2 linked regions of the Arabidopsis thaliana genome follow. The protein of the gene in region 2 interacts with the protein of the main gene of each other region in a pairwise test. Each region holds a gene or a part of one and is shown on either strand. Other genes may lie near its edges.

What was found. The genes of interacting proteins can lie anywhere in the genome.
Region 1: the proteins of RR18 (region 2) and BZIP9 come close enough for resonance energy transfer, tested with the Arabidopsis thaliana proteins (one study listed by BioGRID).

The regions. Positions count from the first base shown.
Region 1 is NC_003076.8:8,513,303-8,517,573, reverse strand, and holds BZIP9 (basic leucine zipper 9), read right to left. Parts: upstream 2,375-4,271; 5' UTR 2,316-2,374; coding exon 2,202-2,315; intron 2,097-2,201; coding exon 2,006-2,096; intron 1,909-2,005; coding exon 1,737-1,908; intron 1,645-1,736; coding exon 1,569-1,644; intron 1,491-1,568; coding exon 1,365-1,490; intron 1,288-1,364; coding exon 1,033-1,287; 3' UTR 905-1,032; downstream 1-904. Other genes in the region: AT5G24810 (ABC1 family protein), read left to right, coding at 1-672. UniProt on the Arabidopsis thaliana protein: Transcription factor.
Region 2 is NC_003076.8:23,500,756-23,506,164, forward strand, and holds RR18 (response regulator 18), read right to left. Parts: upstream 3,415-5,409; 5' UTR 3,396-3,414; coding exon 3,266-3,395; intron 3,177-3,265; coding exon 3,027-3,176; intron 2,960-3,026; coding exon 2,588-2,959; intron 2,459-2,587; coding exon 2,382-2,458; intron 2,286-2,381; coding exon 1,173-2,285; intron 1,096-1,172; coding exon 1,030-1,095; 3' UTR 850-1,029; downstream 1-849. Other genes in the region: TIL (temperature-induced lipocalin), read right to left, coding at 27-401; AT5G58090 (O-Glycosyl hydrolases family 17 protein), read right to left, coding at 4,801-5,409. UniProt on the Arabidopsis thaliana protein: Transcriptional activator that binds specifically to the DNA sequence 5'-[AG]GATT-3'. Functions as a response regulator involved in His-to-Asp phosphorelay signal transduction system.

The DNA.
Region 1 (4,271 bases), about 15 Mb from region 2:
GCAAGGTACTATGCAACCCTAGCAGATGGTGGCCTAGTGCCACCTCCACATTCCTCTTTATCCCAGCCACCACTAGGTAGCCACACCCATGTTCCGAAATTCACGTCGTTGAAAGACACAACAAAAAAGAAAAAGGGTAAGGAGATGGCAGCTACAGAAAAGGGTAAATCAAAAGATCATCAAGAGAGGAAGCTTTATGATGAGAAACAGTTTATGAGTGCTAGTAGCAGCAGAGAGTCAAATACAGAAAGTTTAGCCAGGCTAGTTGATACTAACAGTTCTGCTGGCAAAACTGAGATCAATAGCGATGATCATCAACATGATATTCATAATATGTTTAGCAACCCGAGGATCCATGATGCTTTCATGGGTGCTGGAGACTACAGTGGCTTAGTAGTGCCTGATGGAAAGTTTGGGCTTGGTTTTAAGCGCGCCATTTCTCAAGATGGGTCTCTGGTTGGCTTTGGACATTCAGGGTTAGGAGGATCAACAGGCTTCTGTGACATCAACAACAGATTTTCCATTGCAGTAACACTGAACAAGATGTCTATGGGAGGTGTAACGGCTAATATTGTGAAGCTTGTTTGCTCGGAATTAAATATCCCATTGCCTAAGGACTTCGCAACTGATATAGGTGCAGATTCGCAGATGGGTACGCCTCTAATCAACTGAGGTTGGTTTTCGACGTAAGTTTTGTCTGCTCATGTTACAACATGCATAGCTGTCGCCTTAAATAGCTAATAGAAATTGCTGGAAAGTAAAGTGTAATGGATCAGTGTTTTTGTTTGTTTGTCTGTATACTTACTTAAGCGAACACATTTAAGCAATTTCCTTGGAGAATGTAATTTATTGGCCTATACATGCTTCAGTTTCCAGATTACAATCTGCAGGATTTGGAGCAATTAAGTATATGTTGACGAAACTTGAGTTTATTTAACGAACATGCTGCTTTCATTATATGTTTCTAGTTCTATAGCGAAACACATACAGGAAATTCGCTGAGTGATCATTACATGTTCTGAAGAAAGAGAGTCATGGCCAGATGTCTGAGACGCAGCTAACAGCTTCACTGGATACATTACCAAGTCCAGGGCTTGAGTTCTGTCCAGAAAGTGTCATTCCAGGGAACAAAGATTGGTCACTGTGGACTGTAATGGCGGGCGAGGTATTTCCCGTGTAGTGCAGACTGCTGATGGAGTGTGATGGTGGACTTAGATGAGTTTGTAGAAGTTGATTCAAGCTGCTAGTGAGTGACCCTCTCGCTACCAAATCTTCTGCTAGTTTCACCTATATAGAATTTACTTAACTTAGCACATTCCGGTTATTACTTTCCCAAATTGAAAAGAGCAAGTGATAGATGATACCTTGACTCTCAGAGTTTCAACATCTGATTTGAGAACTCTGTTATTTGTTCCAGCGCTACGAAACTGTTGTGTTGCGTCTATGAGCTGCTTGTACAGTGTTGAGTTATCGCCTTTCAAAGAATCAACCTTGAAGAAAACACAAGGTCACCATTAAAACATTACTCTCTGATACAAATCATCCAACAAGCTATTTGTTAACCTTACCTGAGTCTCAAGATCTACCAAGTACTCTTGCTTCCTTCTCCTCGACCTCTTTGCTGATTCCCTGTTTGAGTTCATCCTGAATTCACATCACAGAAAAAGATTAAGAAGAATTGGTGATTCTCTATCTCAGTGTTTTACATCTAACTTTTTTATTGGTACCTAACATACCTTCTAATACGTTTCAGATCATTGGGATCATTAGTCATTTCAGATTGCCCTGCTTCTGTCTCGGCATCTTCGTCATCAGAGTTAACATGAGAAGATCCACTTGTGGTTCTCCTAACTCCTCCTCTTACCTCAGGTTTATTGGCTGACACTGGACTATCAGCTGACAGATTCTCTTTGTAGATAAGAGCCACACAAGTAGTGAACATTAATATCAACTGCAACAACACTTATTACTTACATGGAGTCAAATCAAAGAGACATGCACATACCGCAGATTGAGGACTGTGCATCGCGAAAAGGTCCAGCCGGAAACAATCCCTCAGACCACAAAAGACTATCTCTTAACTCACAAGTGTAATCCTACAACCAAAAGAAACTAGACTCTTAATTACTACAATATCTCTGGATCTTGATATAGACACAAGCAACAATGATACGAATAAGAGAGACAACAAAAGGACTAACCCGGTTCATGAGGTCGAAACAAGGGTCTAGAGGGCTTGTAGTGAGATACTCTTGTAGAGCCAGCTCAGAAGCACTTCTCTTCATACCAATGTCTTTAGCTGTGTGATTATCCATTTTCTTTGAATGTGAACACACAAGAAAGAAGAGAATTGGTTGGAAAAGAGAGGAGAGGGGAAGAGTAAGTGGTGATAGACATCTTCTTTATATAAGTCTCTCTTCTTTACTAAAGTTGTGAAAAAGCTTCTTAATGGCTAAGCAAAATTGAATTTGCATTGTCAATGCAACGTCCTCATTTCCAACTTTTTTTTTCTTTAATGACAACAATAACAAAAGAGAATAGAAAAGCAAAGCCACAGAGATGTATATTAGGCTCTGTAGTATTGGTGAATATTATGGTACCAATTATATGCTAATGATAACCTTTAATCCCTTAACTAGGGAGACTATCTAAGATAGCTGGAGACTCTTTCAATATAAATCATATCTGAATTCAAACATTAAGTTGTTTGTCAGCTCATTAATATGTTGGAGCTTTTGATTTGAAAATGAATGTTATAGGCATATATATAAGCAGCTTATATTCATAAAAGGATCCTAAAATATTTCGAAATAAGCTTTTAAATATTTGAAAATATTTAGATAATAATATTGTCACTCATGTACATTTGTATTCTTGGCACATGTCAAGAACCTTACACTTACATAAATTACTCTACTACATAACCTGTTTGAATTCGAATTTGAAGTACTTAACGACTAATTTAAGATTAATATACAAGGGGCATAGTCCAATGATGAAACTACAAAAACATTGAAAATGAATAAATTAACCTTTTACGGTAAATGTTTTACCGAATATATAATTTCATAAAACACTAAAAACTAATCTTCATAAATAATTGATAATATTTGAAGGAAAAATATTGATAATATTGTTTCAGTTTTTTACACCTTTGTATCATGTAGTAAAAATCTTTAAAATATTTATTATCATTCATTACTACTACAACACCAAAAAGAAAAACTTAAGAATTTTCCGGTCACACGAACAACACAAAATGCTTCGTCCTTTGTTTACTCTTACTTTTCGCCATATGCTTTTGGAAAGCAGATCTAAAAGACATTTCTTTCCTCCAGCACCAGAAATACTTTTTATTTCATCAACTTTTGTATGCGTAAACCAACTTTTCTTTCTTTTGATCTGCACTTCCTTTAAAAAGTTAAAATATTTCACAACAAAACAATAAAAAGAAACAAACTAGGTAATGTGTCTTTAAACAAACAAAAGTTGTTTAGATCCGAAAATAGAATCCAAAAGCATTTTAAAATTATTATTTCTCACTAACTAGAACTTTCGAACCTATAGTGGACTACAATGTTTACAATCTACCGACTACAGTACAATTCAGTAACCATAGTAACTAGTACAATTAAAATTCAATCCTTAGTGATGTTGAAAATTTTCATGTAATTTAGATGATGATTGATATACGTTTTTTGTAAGAAACGAATTTCTACTTGAGGCACATGCTAAATTTGTAAGTTAAAATACAGAAAATATGAATGAAAATTAGTTTATGAACACAAAAGTAATTTTTGTTTTCTTTTAGCAAAAAAAGAAGAAGTAATTTTTCTGTTTCTACAAACTCTACTTGTAATCTCCAAACGAGGTTTTGCAAAGAAAAAGAAAAGAAGATGAAAGGAATTATAAACAAAGGAAAAGAGAAACAAAAAAAAGACGTTGTTCTATGTCTAGTGATCACTAGAGTAGTTGGGGTGATTTAGTTTTCAGAAATTACTTTTCAAATCATATAACTGTGTTAGTATATTTTTTGGTCATGGGTAGATAAAAGTATTATAGAACAAACAAAAATTCTCATTTAAAATTCATGACAAAAACAAGAATTCTCGTGACCAAATGAATTTTATCAAAGTTTATGTGACCAAATAAAAAACACTAGAATCTTTAGTTTCAGTTTTGAGGGACCAATTGAATCTTTATTTGTTTTTTTTTTTTAAAAATTATTTTTGATACTATAATATTTAGTGTAGTAATTATATTTAGAATCT
Region 2 (5,409 bases):
AAAGAGAAAAAAAAAAGAGTACCAACCCAGAGATAACTCCTGGAAGGCTGGCCAATGAGAGCGTGCTGGTAGTCAGGATCGATGTAGAGCACCCAGTAGTCTCCGGTGACGGGAATGATTGGGAGGAAAGGAGGGACATAGAACTTGACTTTGAGCTTGGCTTCGTCGCTTTTAGGATCGGCCTTATAGGCGCTGCCTTCGATAAAACCCCTCTTCCCGTTGCTCCACGTTTCGTTCAAGACGTGTATGGTACCGTCGGGGTTAAGGGTGTAGGTGGCGCGAGTGTCGACGCCGTTCTTTGGCTGAAACCTTGATGGGAAAGAAGCAATCTCGTACCAACGGCCCATGTATCTCTCCACGTTGAGCCCTTTCACCACTTCCATCTCTTTCTTCTCTGTCATTTCTCTTCTTTTTCTTTTCTTCTTCTCTAAGATTTCGATGTTTTCTTTGAGGTAAAAGGATAAGAAGAGATTCTGTTCTTTATAAGGAAATAAAAAAATAATATCAAGGAGATTTCGCTGGGACGAGAGGATGCCACGTGGAAAGCGTGTAGGGCAAGGGTTCTAGTAGCGTCTAGCAGTTACAAATGTGAATAAAGGTGGAGGACACAAATGTCTTCCTTGTTCTGTGGGAAGAAGGATACAATACAATGGGCCATACAGTCACATTTTGATTTGACTTCCTCTAGCCGTTTCTAGGCCCCACCAAATTATCCTATCGACATCTAAATATCTCTTCTTGTTGACACTTCAAAATAGCTCCATATGTAAACCAACGATCTCAATTAGGCCCATTACTATTCGTATATTGGTTTTGAATAACAACACTTATTCAGAAACTTTATAAAATAAATTTTTGTAACAGGCTCGCTTTCAATTCCAATTCATAAAAGAGAGTATGAAACAGGTTGGTGTACTATGATCTATTGACAGTCGGAGGAAACAATGTGGGAAGAAATTTAAAAAAATCACATGAAAATGGTCTCAAGTGGAGAAACTTAATGCAACTGGTAGAGAAAGAGATGACTAGCTAAGGTGGAGGAAATGAATCAAAGCCAAATCTAGTAGCCACTGGCACCATTCCGTTATTCTCCTCCTGCAACAAACACATTCACTTTCATTTTCTACAAACTACAAAAGCTTTTAATCCAATCAAGAAAACAACCGCGTTACCTGTTTCATCATCTCATTCATTATGTCATCGAATACATCATGCTGGTTGTCATTCTCTGGCTTTCCCGACTTCATCTCTGGATCCAGCATTGTAGTAGCTTTTCCAACATACTCTTGACTGTTGTCTATTGGGTTCATCAGTGACTCATCCAAGCCTTTGCTTCTGGTTGAATTGTTGTCTCTGAAAACCATGTTATCTGCGGGTAGAGGATACTCAATGTTACCGAATGGATTGTTCAGCATGGTGCAGTTCTGTTGCTCCCATTTCTGTCCGCCTAACGGATTCACGTTCTGCATGAAGCCGCCAAGTAATTGAGGATCACACTGCATCTCTCCACCAGGATTCTCTGCAGAAACCAAAGAAGTACAATCTCCCAGATTGTTCCCTGCACATGTCACTTGATCCGGCAAGAAAGCAAGATTTAGTGGTAAGGAACTCGGTGGGAATCTGGTTGTGTTCAAATTCCCTTGCCAGCTATGACCAGGAAATCTAGATAAGCCTTGGAAACTGATGTTTGGGGAGGCAGAGTTGGACGGAGTTCCCTCGATGCAAGGCTGAATTCCATCTGAGGCTATATGCAGGGGTTGTGTATAGTTTGCTTGCAACATTAGAGGATTGGTGGAAGCACTTGGTAAAGAGGTGCTAGAGCTACCAAATGGCATACAAGTATCTAGGAAGCTACCGCCAATAGCTCTGTCCCCTAAGCCTTTAAAATCTCCAATGTATGACTTGCTTCTAGGAAACTGGAGGGGTTCTAGTGGAGATGAAGTTCGCTGAAACAGATTCACGTTCTGGATTCTTGGTGACAGAGTACTGTGATATGTTCCAAACGGATTAGCTGAATTGCTTGAGTTCTGGTGATGCCCCTGTTGGATGAAGCTGGAGGAGTTCATTCCTTGGAGATTTATCGATGAATACATAGGGGGTTGGAGTTTGGTGAGATGGGAACGCGATAAGAGTCCTGAGCTTGGAATTTGTCTTGCGGCAGTAAAATCTCTAAGTCCATCAAGTTGAGCCATCTGAAAGTAAGATGAATCTCTTGTTCCAAATGCATCTGGGGTCATATTTTGCTGCTGACCTTCGTCTATCTTTTTCAAGTACAGTCTGTACTTCTGCAACCAAAACCAGAGAATAAAACAAGTCTAACCATCCAAGATTATATTTGCGAAAGAAGGGGAAAAATGCAAGAGAGAATGGGGAATTAGTACCTGCAAATGACTGGCTACGTTTTCCCTAGTGAGACCTTCTATACTCATGAGATCAAGTATTTTTTTGGGAACAGCCTCTGTGATGAACACAAGGAGAAATGAAAAGAGGATCCCACACATGAAAGCATCAAAATAACTCTATAGGAGAAACAAGAGTGGACATCACACATAAGGAAAGGTTTAAAGAGGTCTATGGGGAAACTCACTGTCGAGGCCCAATTGCTGAACGGCACTGACAAACTTCTGGTGAAGCTCCTGAGACCAAACAACACGTGGCTTCTTCCGCGTACCTGACCCGTCACCATCCTGTTCACTCCCCTCACCATCATCCTCTTCTCTGTCACTGTCATCTTCATCACCACTGTCATTGACTTTGTCTTTCCGTTTCCTGCTGGCGCTTGGGACGGAATCAGATTCAGAAGGTGGGAGCAGTTTTGCGTAAGATTTAATGTTCTTCTTCACAACATGATGCCATATATTCTGAAGCTCCTTGAGTCCAACAGGCTTGACCAGATAATCGCAAGCGCCATGTATAATACCTTTCATAACGCTGTCATAGTCGCTATGAGCTGACAACACTGAGACAATGAAGCAGGTTACAATAAGGGCTAGAGTTGATATGAAAAACAATGGTAGGAGACGTACTGATGACAGGAAGGTCCATTTCAAGACCAATTTCAAGCAACTTAAAACCATCCGTGTCTGGCATCTCTACATCGCTTATCACCAGATCAAACATGTTGCTGTTTTCTCTCAGCATTTCCAGAGCTTTCCTCGACTCCATTGTCTTTGTCACTGGCGTAATCAATCAAACATCATTGACCATGCACCCCAATTCCGAAGCAGACAGGTAAAAAAAAACAAAAGCAAAGAATATGTAGTACCATGATACTTGCAACGAAGCAGCAACTCTTCGAGTTTCCGAAGGCAGGTTGGATTGTCATCCACAGCAAGAACCCTCATTCCTACAGGAAACTTGTCATGCCTTCCATCTTCAGTGCTTCCAAACTCCATATTTGATGCAATACGTTTGCAAGTCTCCTCTCTTCAAAGGAATATAGTACATAGACTAAAATCTGATCTGTTTTATTCTTAAAACCTCAAGTTTGGGACTAGAAGAAGACCATAGTCCTCCTATAGACAAATGTAAAAAGATAAAGACGAGTGGCCCAAAAGAGAGAGTGATTACGCGGTTAATCTGGCCCTTAATTCTCCAAATAATTAGAAATTTCCTTCTGTTTCTGCTCATATTTCCATAAATGAGGACGTGGAGAGAGTCACATGTTCCTCTAATTTCTCTTTTGTTGGTTGAATCTTGCCTTATCTGAGCACAAAAGACAAACTTTTCGTAAAGTGAATGTAAATGTCCCCATTTTGTTTCCTTACTCGCAAATAAACGTTCAAACCCAACGTTTCAACCTTTCCTGGCTTTCCTTATATATATGCATTTCCTATTTTCCATAGAAATGTTTTTCCTTTTTAGTCTTCTAAGTGAATGCACCAAAACAAAACAAAAAAAATCTGATTTTTGACATAACGCGTATGGTCTCAGTTCCAAAAAAAAAGAGAATTCGACAAATGCAATGGACTGACCTGATCACATTCAGGCATTCGAATCCGTCGACTCTTATTACTCCACATTCTTAGTCAATCGTCATACTTGTGATTACTCTGCCATTTTCTTGATTATTCTATCTGAAATCACAACCAATGTGAAAACTGCGTCACAGATGATTGTTGCTGATGAGTCTCCAACAGTCTTAACTTTATCCATCACCAAACCCTTGGAACTATGCACCACTCCAAAAAATAGTCTTTGATCTGATTTCCACTACCACAGAGACTTATTTTCCAGTTTCCTTCCATTTGAAGAAATCGACAACTCTGTGATCTTCTTATACTCAGATTATTATTACCATTCGATTTCTTCAAATGGAAGGAAACTGGAAATAAGTCTCTGTGGTAGTGGAAATCAGATCAAAGACTATTTTTTGGAGTGGTGCATAGTGCCAATTGGACTCAAAGATTAAGAAATTAGATAATCGTCTCCTAGTTTCCTATCTAGAAGAACGAGAGCAAGGAGAAAGGGAAACTTCATATGAAGAATTGGAAGTTGTACAAATCTGTAGTACTATAGATGTCTAAAACAACAAAAGGACAGTCTCTCCAGCATTTATGAAACAGAGCTCCAGGGAGAAAGAGAGCGCAATAGACTTTCCCAACTACTATAGTACAAATTCAAATGCTCATTTGGGCCTGATTTATTGAACATGGCAATATGGCATTGTTTTAAGGTCAGTTTGGTCCCAGAAAACAGCTCTAATAATCACTTGGTCTAAGGAAGAGAAATCAGAATTCAAGAAGAAAAAAAAATAGTTCAAGCCATCACACAGAATTACAAATTGACAAGAAGAAACCATCAAAAAATAGAGACTGCGATGGCTGCCACCATCAGTAGTGGGAAAAAGAACCCGTGTTCCCGGGCTGCCCCACCGTAGTAAGGTTCTATCATAATCGGAAATCTGCAAGTTCCAGTAGATGGATCTGTCTTGGTCACCTCTGATATGTTTGGGAACTTACAAGCTGTATCAAGCTGATCCTGTATCTGATAATAACTGTTGAATGCATACGATATGTTTTGTTTCCCGTCAAGATTAGCACAGGACGTCCCAACCCCAAGACTAGTACAGTCCCCAAGGCTACACGCGTAGCTCACGGCTGGAGCTACCTGCGGATCATCCAACCTCACATTTGGCTTCATCACACACCACTTCCTCTCTAGGTAGCGTACCCCTTTGGCCTGGATCAGAGCTCCTGTGTTCGTTGTCCCTAGGTTCAAGGCATATTTTGGTAAGCCGTCAAATGTGAATATCCCCCAGTGTCGCTCAAAGTATCCTGGCTGAACACTCTTGGCGTCCTCGTCTATCAAGCTGAACAGGTATGCATCGATAGGGCCAGGTCTCCTCGGAGTCCCTTTCCCCCCTGAGATGTGAGCCATAAAGCCTTGGTTGAACTTCTTAGCGTAGTC